Yarrowia lipolytica: one gene and its partners. The protein of the gene in region 3 interacts with the protein of the main gene of each other region in a pairwise test. Links are inferred from orthologs where the notes say so. Each region holds a gene or a part of one and is shown on either strand. Other genes may lie near its edges.

What was found.
Region 1: the proteins of YALI1_F39108g (region 3) and YALI1_D20768g interact in binary tests that used the Saccharomyces cerevisiae proteins (3 or more experiments, as listed by UniProt). The link is inferred for Yarrowia lipolytica from reciprocal best matches to the Saccharomyces cerevisiae genes UTP18 and CKA1.
Region 2: the proteins of YALI1_F39108g (region 3) and YALI1_F19192g interact in binary tests that used the Saccharomyces cerevisiae proteins (3 or more experiments, as listed by UniProt). The link is inferred for Yarrowia lipolytica from reciprocal best matches to the Saccharomyces cerevisiae genes UTP18 and UTP6.

The regions. Positions count from the first base shown.
Region 1 is NC_090773.1:2,074,798-2,078,343, forward strand, and holds YALI1_D20768g (uncharacterized protein), read left to right. Parts: upstream 1-1,993; coding exon 1,994-3,013; downstream 3,014-3,546. Other genes in the region: YALI1_D20758g (uncharacterized protein), read right to left, coding at 1-1,068, 1,699-1,759; YALI1_D20784g (uncharacterized protein), read right to left, coding at 3,459-3,546.
Region 2 is NC_090775.1:1,917,498-1,921,234, forward strand, and holds YALI1_F19192g (uncharacterized protein), read left to right. Parts: upstream 1-1,797; coding exon 1,798-3,204; downstream 3,205-3,737. Other genes in the region: YALI1_F19180g (uncharacterized protein), read left to right, coding at 557-1,354; YALI1_F19216g (uncharacterized protein), read right to left, coding at 3,328-3,737.
Region 3 is NC_090775.1:3,909,184-3,913,230, forward strand, and holds YALI1_F39108g (uncharacterized protein), read left to right. Parts: upstream 1-1,616; coding exon 1,617-3,395; downstream 3,396-4,047. Other genes in the region: YALI1_F39106g (uncharacterized protein), read right to left, coding at 1-1,496; YALI1_F39128g (uncharacterized protein), read left to right, coding at 3,658-4,047. UniProt on the Saccharomyces cerevisiae protein: Involved in nucleolar processing of pre-18S ribosomal RNA and ribosome assembly.

The sequences.
Region 1 (3,546 bases), on a different chromosome or scaffold from region 3:
AAAGCGCCGGAGTGGTAAGCTTTTTAGCAACGTCTACACCTGCCAAACTGACAGACGCCACGATCTGGGCTGCCTGGGTGCTCAGACGGTTTGTGGGGTCCTTGAGCTTGTCCATGCAGTCAGTTTCAACGTTTGTGAGGTACTCATCCAGCTGTGACTGGTCTCCGTGCTTCTGCAGCTCTTCTGCGAGACGTTTTAGAACAGTAAGGGTCTTTCCTGCCAGCTCAGGTTCGCTTCCATGCAAAACCTCGAATTTGGTTCCGTCCCAGATGTCCTTCCAATTTTCGGCGGTGATTTCCGGACCGTAGTTGGCGATACATGCTGCAATGGTGTCCAGAGTGTCTCCCTTGACCGATAACGACGACGAGGTGAGTTTTTCCAGCAGTGCGGGGAAGATGAGTTTGGAGTACTGTTTTCCGGCCGCCAGAGCGGTTCTGAGCGCCACCTTTAGCTGATCAGCTGTGATCTTGTAGGGGTCATTTTTGGGGGGTCTAAAGGTGATGGGGAAGTAGCAGAAGGTGGCGTCAAACTGCGGCTCCACGTCGTTTTCAGGCACAGTCAGGTTGTTGCTGATCCACTCGTTGATAGCAAAGGACTCCAGCAGGTTTCGGGGGTCCTTCTCGCCGTTGGTGCAGGTCAGGAAACACTTGATGAAGCCTTCCTGGGCTGAAGCAGTGCTTTTGAGCGACTGGCTCTTATTCTCAGTCAAGTATCGGAGTAGAACGTAGGCCTTGTATCTGACCACCTGCACATGTGAAGAGGGCAGGTAGTAGCCGACGAGGCTGTCCACGATTTTTTTGACGCTCAGAGAGCTGATGGCCGACATGGTGACCACGGCGTTCATGCCGTCGAGAACCTGGCCCGTGACGGGCTCGTCGGCCAGACGTTCGCTGAGAAACTCGCAGATGACAGTGAGTTGCTGCTTGGTCAGTTTGTCAGTAGGCAGATCTTTGAGCACGTCAGAGATGCATTGGATGGCGGTCTGTCGGGTTTTGGCAGACTCGTCAACGAGGTATTCTCCGAGCAGCTGCACGAGATCGACCAGTTTAGCCTGGTCCGTGGTGATCACTGTGTTAGCATGAAGCGGTAGTTGTAGGGAAGGAAGAGACGGGGCATAGTGGGAGGAGATGATGATCAAGATACGAGGGTAGGGCACCAGAGAGACGATATTACCACTTGCCACTGGAAGGCACCCAAACAGGCGCCGAACAGACACCAAACAGGCACCGAACAGACACCAAACAGACACCCAAACCAACCCAGTCAATCCATGGACCGGTCTAGATCACCTCAGATCATATCTTACCCCGCATGACTCAGATAACAGCTGAACCACAACTTCCCGACCATAAAGAAAGAAGAAAAGCAACCAAAGCACATGTTTCCCTGTCAACGGTTCATCCTTCATCGACTTAGCCCATCTCTATCAAATCTCGATCATCTTCTGGTCTAGACCTAGATGGATCATAAGGCAGAGAACACACCACCACCACTACCACCACCGCCACCGCCACATCTGCGGCGAAAAAGCCGCGGCAACAACATCCAGAATTATAAACACGTGTCCAAAAGTCGATTCCCATTCCTTCTTCCCTCCTACCACTATCCAGTCTCTATCTCCGTCGGGTCGTGGATCTATAGTCCATCACACCTTTGTCGCACACTCCCTCCACCGTAAACTCCAAGCTGGATACTCACAATCAGCGATACCTGCGGCGTTGCCCGTAGCGGCCATGTATTGGTTGACCAAGGCGTCCATGATCAAAGTGGCACACTGTATGTCGTTTTCGAGGGTCTTGTTCAGGTCGGACTGCCTCTGTTCCTGGTGACAATCTCCATTTTTCTTACTCACAGAAGAGTCTATGTGAAATAAGGTTTGCCACACTCCTCCCAATACCCATCCTCATACACCCACCCACCCATCAACGACTGTGAATTGTCTCTGTCTCCATCGACACATTTTCCTCATTCCTCATTCGTCTAAAGACTCATCATGGACGTGGATTCCGATATCGCCGCCGAGTCGGTGGCCCGAGTGTACGCGGACGTGAACAACCTGATGCCGCCATCGTACTGGGACTACGACAAGCTGGCGCTCAAATGGGGTCAGCAGGACAACTACGAAATCATCAAGAAAATCGGCCGAGGCAAATACTCGGAGGTGTTTGAGGGCATCAACATTGTGTCCAAAGAGCTGGTGGTGATCAAGGCGCTCAAGCCCGTCAAGCGCAAGAAGATCAAGCGAGAAGTCAAGATTCTGCAAAATCTCGCAGGAGGACCCAACATCATCTCGCTGCTGGAAACGGTGCGAGACCCGCAGAGCAAAATGCCGGCCTTCATCTTCGAACACGTGCAGAACCTCGACTTCCGGGCGCTGTACCCCAAATTCACAGACTATGACATTCGCTACTACATGTACGAGCTGCTAAAGGCCATCGACTACAGCCACTCCAAGGGCATCATGCACCGGGACGTGAAGCCACACAATGTCATGATTGACCACGAGAAGCGCAAGCTGCGCCTCATTGACTGGGGCTTGGCCGAGTTCTACCACGCGGGCACCGAATACAACGTCAGAGTGGCCTCGCGGTACTTCAAGGGACCCGAGCTGCTGGTCGACTTCCAGCTCTACGACTACTCCTTGGACCTGTGGTCCTACGGCGCCATGTTTGCCTCCATGATTTTCAAAAAGGAGCCTTTCTTCCATGGTACCTCCAACACGGACCAGCTGGTGAAAATCGCACGGGTGCTGGGAACAGAAAAGCTCTGGGACTATCTGGAAAAGTACAATATTGAGCTCGGAGCCGAGTACGACGACATTGGAACCTACCCCGCCCGACCCTGGAGCAAGTTTGTCAACGTGGACAACGAGGCCTACATTAGCCAAGAAGCGATACATTTACTGGATAACCTGCTGAGATACGACCATCAGGAGAGACTGACTGCCAAGGAGGCCATGGCGCACGATTACTTCAAGCCCGTCAGAGTTAGAGAAGAGGGCGAGCAGGAATAGATGGCGAGCAGGAATAGATGACGAGCAGCTCTATTGGGTCGTCTACCAACGGCCGCGAGCGAGCAAAGGTGAGACACATGGGCCCCCCCATCGATTCGCCAACCAGTCTTGAGCGCGTGTATTAATGAGCTAACTTGCACTACACGCGCTTGCTAAGCTATGACTCAGTGACTTCCAGTGACTCCAACATTTCTGTCACCACTGGACCAAACATTAATTCAACTCATGCTCAAAGAGACAGTCATTGAAGGGTGTATATCGGTACTTTAATAAAAGGAATATTCTTAGACAATGTAGGCGACTGTAAAGAGGCTGAGCAGAAACTTATCGTCATGACAGTTTGTTGACAACTTTGCAGTCATTATGGCCGAGGGTAAATAGGTGGTTGACGACGTCTGAAGACAATGTGAAGTTTCACAGTTGAGCGAGAGGTCAACATCGTGAACTAAGAGTATGCTCTAGCCCATCTCAGAGCTGAGCGCAGGGTGGCTTCTAGCTGGGGAGAAGCAGGATGATGAGCAAGATGCTCAATG
Region 2 (3,737 bases), about 2.0 Mb from region 3:
TACCAGGACCAGAAAACATATGTACAAGTACTGTACCAGTACGAGTACGAGCGAGTACTTGCCTCCGCATCAGGAAACTTAGGAGCTGGAACAGAGCCCCCATAATTTGCCACGATGCGTGATATTTCTACCTCATTATTACATAGAAGAATGTCACACGCCTCAGGTCATCACTGTATCATGAGCGCCAGCAGTTAAGGGCGCCTCTCCAGCAATGGTTTTTAGGTTGTTATTTGTCAATCTCCTCCGCCTCCCCCTATTGCCACGACGTGCAAGCATCTCGATTCGGACATCAGAAGAAACGGAGTTTGTTTGGAGAAAAAAAGTGCTGGGGGAAAAGTATATATATGTGTTTCGGTTTGCGACCGGGTAACCGAAATTTTCTCTGCCTCACAAATTATGCGTACCCTACTACCAATTCTCCCAACAGTCATTGCCGACTGTCTGGGCATAGTGTACCCAATGATGTCCAAATCGGGAAATAAACCCTTAACCTATTCATCAGCATGCCCATATTGTAAATCTCACGAGAACAGTTGTGTCAGTCCACCGCAAAATGTCCTCCCTCGACAACCAGCTCTCTGCGTTTAAAAACAAGATCAAATCGGCGCCTACGATCAAGAAGCCGTCGTTTGTGGCTAAACGCAAGGAGGAGGAGGAGGGTGTTGGTGGTCAACAAAAGAAGCGTAAGGTGGTTCCGCCCGTGAACCCCTTCAATGAGAACGTTGGCCGCCACGCTGCTACACAGTTGATGCATGCTGTGGAGTACATCAAAAAGCAGGTTGGTGTTGTTCCGATCGAGAACATTCGATCATACCTGTCGCTGCAAAGCGCTGATTTCTTGGTGCCCCTATTGAAGAAGATGGACCAGATGTCCTACAACGCTGTCCAGAGGGGATTTGAGTACATGCCCAAATTCAATATCCGTACCAAGGCACAGCTCATGGCATTTCTTAAGTCTCAACCTACAGCCAAGGGTCTCAGCGTGCGCGATCTTAAGGACGGCTGGGCCGATTGTCTAGACAGTATCGAAGAGCTTGAGCAGAGCGGAGATCTGATTGTTCTCCGTACCAAGAAGGAGAACTCACCAAGAATGATGTGGGCTAATATGGGTGGGCCAATCGGCATGGTTGATGGAGAGTTCCGGTCAATGTGGTCACAGATCAAGGTCCCCGATGAGTCCGAGTTGCCGTCGAAGTTGGAAGAGGCTGGCCTCAAGCCTACATCTGTGGATCCTGCCACTATCAAGAGCAACAAGGCCAACGGGAATGGTTCAAAGAAACAAAAGAAGCCCCGTCGAAGCAAGATCACAAACACACATCTGGATGGTGTCCTCAAGGATTACGGCAGATAGTTGGTCCGTACCTGAATATTCAAGGTCGCGCAGTTAAATAGGCATCCAATTGGTGCCATCATATTATTTTATTACATTCATATAGCATAAGGAATCTTCCTGTATTTACGATCAAGGGTTGACACTGCGTGCACATTGTACAATAGATACTAAGACCAACACAACTGGACGTACAGTATGTAAGATTGAAATACCATTGTGAGAGAGTTTGTTTTTTCTCGAAAATGAGGAAGTGAACTAAGTCCTGATTCAATGAACTTGCCTTTTCTCTACGGCATAACAATAAGTTACCGACACGTACCTACCGTATGTGTTATTTATTGCGATGTCATGCTTAATCAGCACACATGGTTAAATACAAAATAGAGTTCAGTTGTTCTGCAGGATGGTAGAAATTTTGGAACTCTAGAAAATATATTTCCAACCACTTCACAAGCATCAGGATGTCCGACCAAGTACGATTCTACCTAGAACAGAGCATTCCTGAGCTCGAAGACCTTGAACAGCGAGGACTCTTCACCAAAAAAGAGATTGCTCAGCTTGTGCGTAAGCGAACCGATTTCGAGCACAGAATCACCGGAAGACAGTCTCGGCCTCGAGATTTTTTGCGGTATGCCCACTTTGAAATAAATCTGGAGGCTCTTCGGATGAAGCGGATTGCTAGACTCGGAAACAATCCTGCTGCCAAGCTCAAGAAAAACAGAAACAGAAACATGCCTACCCCTACAAACATCTCCGACTATGCCGGCCGAAGGCGAATCAATTTCGTGTTCGACCGAGGAACCAAGAAATTCGCAGGCGATGCTGACCTGTGGAAGCAGCACATCGCTTTCCTGAAGCATTACAAAATGATGGCGAAGCTGTCGACTGTCCATACTAACATGCTCAAGCTCTTCCCCAACCGGGCTGACATCTGGATCATGGTAGCCAAGCATGAGTTTGATGAGAACTCTGCAGCACAGACAGCACGATCTGTCTTCCAGAGAGGTCTGAGATTCAACCCCGAGAGCAAAAAGCTTTGGCTAGAATACACCAAGCTGGAGCTGTTGTATGTGTCTAAGATCCTGACTCGACGAAAGCTCCTTGGAATCCTTGCTGATAGAGACAAGCAGCGAGAGGCTGAGGAAGTAAAGGAAGTTGACGATGAAAACGTCATTGCCCTTCCTGAGCTTGATGGTGACGATGACATCAAGGCTGAACTCAAGACTCTTCCTGAGGCTGATATTGACATGCTCGGTAACCCCTCCACCAACCCTGCCCTTCGAGGTGATGTTGCTCTTGCAATCTTCGACTCTGCTCTCGAGACTATCCCTAGGTACTCTTCAGAGATCAACACTGGTCTCAAGAATGACGATGGATCTTTTACAGTCGCTCTTGCACCTCATTTTGCATTCCTGCTGTCTTTCTCACGACAGTTCCTCGAGCTCTTTGACGAGTTTGAGGATATGGACCGAGAGTACCTTTGTGCACATGTCATCCAGGCTGTCATGCAACAAATCAACAACGACATTGGGTCCGCATCCCTGAAGCTCACCGAGAGTGCTATCGCAGATATTGCTCGGTTGGTGGTGGATGACATCACCCTCTCAGTGCGGTACTTGTCCCCTCTTGATGCTTCCTTCCCTGAGGCCTTCAAGCTGGCTCTGAACAAGTACAATGTCGCCATGTCTAAGACCTGGAAGAAAAAGGGATCGGAGAGACAACAGCAAGTCCGTAAGCAAATTGCGTCACAGTTCAAGGAGAAGCTGGCGGACTACCTTACAGCTGGCAAGTCTGTTGATAGAGAGATCGACGAGAACCTCAAGCGAGCGCTTAAGGCCGTCATCAAGAAGACCGAGGACGATATGTAAGCATCTTTAATATATATTTACACACACGCAAACTGCATCTGTATATAAGTAGCTATATTTAGAATATTTTGATATGTTTGGTATATTTGGTATATTTGGTATATTTACTGTTCTATATCATGTTTAGTCCTTCTTGCTGCTTCCCCAGTCAGCAAAACGAGGAAGGGGAGTTCCGAAGTTCTCTGATCGCAGTTTTCGTGGGAAAATCACGCCCTGAAAAACAACGGTCACAATAGCTGCAGTAGCGATCATGGTTGCAGCACACCACATGAGCGTGGTGGAAGAGAAAGCGGAGTTGGAGTCAGGGTTGGCAGGGAGGGTAAACACCTCGTTATTGTTGCTACCGGGATACCACTTAACAGAGAGCTGGAGGGGCAGAAAATCACCGTTCTTGTATCTCTCGGTCTCCGTTCCTCTGGAAAACGCGGCTGCTACCACAGGCGTCTCGGTCTTTCGCGAGTACATCATCACGGCATTGAGCTTCGGGTCGATGTCCAAATGAGACTCCTGAATGTGGCCACGAATGGTGAATG
Region 3 (4,047 bases):
AGAACCTTCAAAACCTTCTCGTCAAAAGACGCCTCAAGCTTCATAAACAGAAGAGCATTGACAATTGCAACAAGAGCATAAAGCTGGTTGTTTCTGACAGCAATATCTCCCTGCTCCTCCTTCACCTTCCCCGTCCAATGAGTCAGAACATCGTAGTACTGATCAGGGAACATTTTAGCAATGAGATCAGAAACATAGGGCAGGAAACCAGGGTCTCTCCACTTACTAGACTTGGCCATCTCATCCACCCAGATGATGATGAAGTCATACATGTTGCTGTTGAGCTGGTATCCCGTAGCCATACCTCGCATCACCGACTTCGTGTACTCGTTATCAGGACCATCAGAGATATCCTTGGCCAAAGACACCGAAGTAGCTGTAAGTGAAGGATCTTGTCGCACCAAAGCAGCAATCAGACGCCAATCTCGTTCATTGTTCACCTGCCAATCCAATGCAAAGGCCTCTCTCGTAGGCACAGCCTCGTTGAAAAGCCTCACCAAAATGCTCTTTTCCACCTTGTAGCCCATCTCTGTACACTGATCCAGCAGCTCCACAGTGTACTGCTTGGCATTCTGGATTAGACCACTGACCAGAGGCACAACCAGATCCTTCTCACCAGTGGTTCCAGGCATAGTAGCAGCCACCTTTTCTCCCAGTCTGATAATGTGGGCATAGCCTCGAACAGGAGCCTCAGTGGAGAAGCTCAACACCTCAAAAGTAGTGAAGGCATACAGACCAGTGATGGGGAAGTGTTCGGGATCAAACAGGAATTTGGTGACCAGATAATCGATGAAATGTGCCAGGTCCTTGTTTAGATCCTCCCCGTCCAATAGATAGAAAATGTAGGGAAGATACGATCCAACCTCTCGACACTTCTTCTGCATATCCTGACTTCCCTGAGAAGACCGCTCCAAAAAGTTGAGGATCATTTGAGTCCATGAAGACACTCCAGCAATGTGTCCCACAGGCAGCCCGGTCTTCTGAAAGTTTGTAAGGGTCTTGAGGTAGTCTCCTGCGATTTCGACAGCGGCACTCTCTGTAAACTGCACGGCTAACGACCGAGACACCTTGTTGACGGCTGTGGTGATCTCGTCCAGCAGCTGAACGGAGCAGCCCTCAATGTTTTCCTTGATGGCTAGACTGACGATCTCTGTGAACTTGCTGTTTCTGTAGATTCGTTCTCTTGGCATGGCCAGATCCTTGGCCATGTCTTCCCACACAGTGATGAATAGCGTCCAGAATGCCGGGTCTGCTCGAGCCTCCTTGGCAGAGTCGGTCTTCTCGCTTATTTTGTCCATCCACCATTGCAAAACTGCGCACAACCGATGGGGAAAGTAGACGTTGAGGTTTCCGGCTACAATTTCGTTTGCAAACGGCAGAATCTGCACCAGAGGCACGCCCTTGCGTCGCAGATGACGCGATATCGATGCTGTAGTCTGTGTTAGCGGTGGATCTCGAGTCAATTTAGCCGGTGTACTCACTTCCATATCAGCCATGTTGTTGTTATCTGGGTCTGGTGTTGGGTGCACGAAATTTCCTACTCTGCATACAGGAATTTATTAGGCTCTGGAGCTTAAATAAATATTTTCAGGGTGGGTGCATTAAGCAGATTGTAAATGGGACTTCAAAAAAATAATACCACTACACATATCGAAACTACACACAACAAAATGAAATCACTGGAAGAGCTAGAGGACGCCACCGAAGGAGTCATGGTGGACATTGACGAGCATATGGAGGACTCCATGGACGTGGACTCTTCTGATGACGAGGTGCCGGATAAGGACGAGGAGGAGCTGGAGCTGGAGAAGGCCGTCTTTGGAGATCTAGAGGGCTTTGAGATGGGTATCAAGAACATTGCGCTTGAAGAGGCAGAGGAGGAGGATTCCGACGATTCCCATGATTCGGATGACGAGAATGATTTTAACAAGATGGAGGACAACCAGTTGTTCTTTGTTGATGGAGGAGACGGGCAAAAGTACCACTCTGATGACGACTCTGACGACGATTCCGACTCGTCCATGGACTCAGATACCCTCGATGAGACTCTAGAAGAGCACGGAGGACGTGCCGCATGGGCCGACTCGGACGACGAGAACGTGCACATTTCGCTGGTGGGAGATCACGATGGTATGCTCAAGAAGCTGCGAAAGACGCAGACCCAGGACTACGTTAACGGCAAGGTGTTTTCGCGACGGCTGAGAGAACAGTATAGAAAGATCTACCGGGTCCCCGACTGGGCTGCTAATGCATTCAAGGCCAAGGCCAAGAAGGACTACGATGAGGACGACTCTGAGGGGTCCGATGAGGAGGAGCAGGACGTGCTTACAGGCACTTCTCTGAGCGAGGTGCTTCAGCGAGTCACCCAGTACTCCAACAAGGAGTCCAAACTGCTTCGACACGGCGAAATAGAGGTTGCTCGACTTCAGGACGTTAACTTTGCTGCTCCTTCTCGAGCTGCCGTGGAGGGTCTCGCTTTCCACCCCACACATTCTCTGCTTCTGACTGGAGGTTTCGACAAGACTCTGCGACTATACCAGGTGGATGGCAAGAACAACCCTGTTGTCACCACGCTCTTCATGAGACATACTCCCTTTGCTCACGTGGCCTTCCACCCCGACGGCCAGAGAGTGTATGCTGGTGGCCGAAAGCAGAAGCATCTGTACATCTGGAATGCTGAGAGTGGAAAGGTGGAGCGAATGGCACATCTGTACGGCCATGGTGACAAGGTGCGATGTTTTGCGCAGTTCAAGCTCTCACCAGACGGAAAGTACCTTTGTGTAGTTGGAGTGGACGGCTGGCTGGCCATTCTGTCGGCTACCTCTGGACAGTGGATCGACGGCTGTAAGATTGAGGGCGACGTTGCCGACTTTGTGTGGGACGGTGGCTCCATTATTGCTGTCAACACCGCTGGACAGGTGTGGGAATACAACGTGGAAAGCCGTTCTTTCACAGCTACTTGGACCGACGAGGGAGGAGTTGGCATCACGGTGCTGGCTATCGGCGGCAAGGCTAACCAGTGGCTGGCTATCGGCTCCGAGTCCGGCTACGTCAACGTCTACAACCGACCCAAACTTGCATTGGAGATTGCTAAGGGCCAAAGCCCCTTTGTGCCCCAGAAACCCACTGCGGTTCTCTCTAACCTAACCACCCCCGTTTCGTCGCTAGTCTTCTCTCCCGACGGACAGATGCTTGCCATGGCCTCCGACCAGAAGCGAGACTCTCTCAAGCTGGTCCATGTTCCTTCGTTCACCGTGTTCAAGAACTGGCCCACTCAACATACTTCTGTGGGAGTTGTCACCAGCGTGGCCTTCTCCCCCAGCTGCGAGTACCTGACTGTAGGTGCCACCAACGGCAGAGTCCGAATGTTCCAGCTCGCCCACTACAAGCTTTAATAGTATAGATGCATATTAGAAGATGTTTATAAGAGAATCTGAGTAGAAGGGTAAGTGTATATACTGGGTCTAGTTGGGGAGCGACTGAGTACTTTTTACCTACATTTCGAAGTAATTTAGTAAACATTAGTTGCACAGTCCGTTTAAAAACTCTATCTAACTTAAGCTCATCTATCGAAATATTTTTGCCCGACATGTACCTTAAAATTATTCTGCCAAAAAGTATACCTACGCATTTCATACTCATACACCACTTACAAAAATGACTACCCCCGACCTGGAGGATAAGTCCTTCGACTCGTTCGGCCTTGATGACAGACTGTTGTCCGGCCTGGCTGCCTGCGACATGAAGCAGCCCACTCTCATTCAGAACACAACCATTCCTCTGGCTCTGGACAAGGGCGTGGATATCACAGCCAAGGCCGTCACTGGTAGTGGCAAGACGGTGGCCTACTTGCTGCCCATCTTCGAGCTGATGCTGAGAGCTGAGAAAGAGAAACGGGATATCCAGACTGCTCTGATTGTGGTTCCCACGCGAGAGTTGTGTGAGCAGGTGTCCAAGGTGATCACCAAGCTGACCCAATTTTGCCCCCATCTCAAGTCTCTCAACGTGACTCAGCAGCTCGGAGACGACGTTATTTCTTCTCTGTTG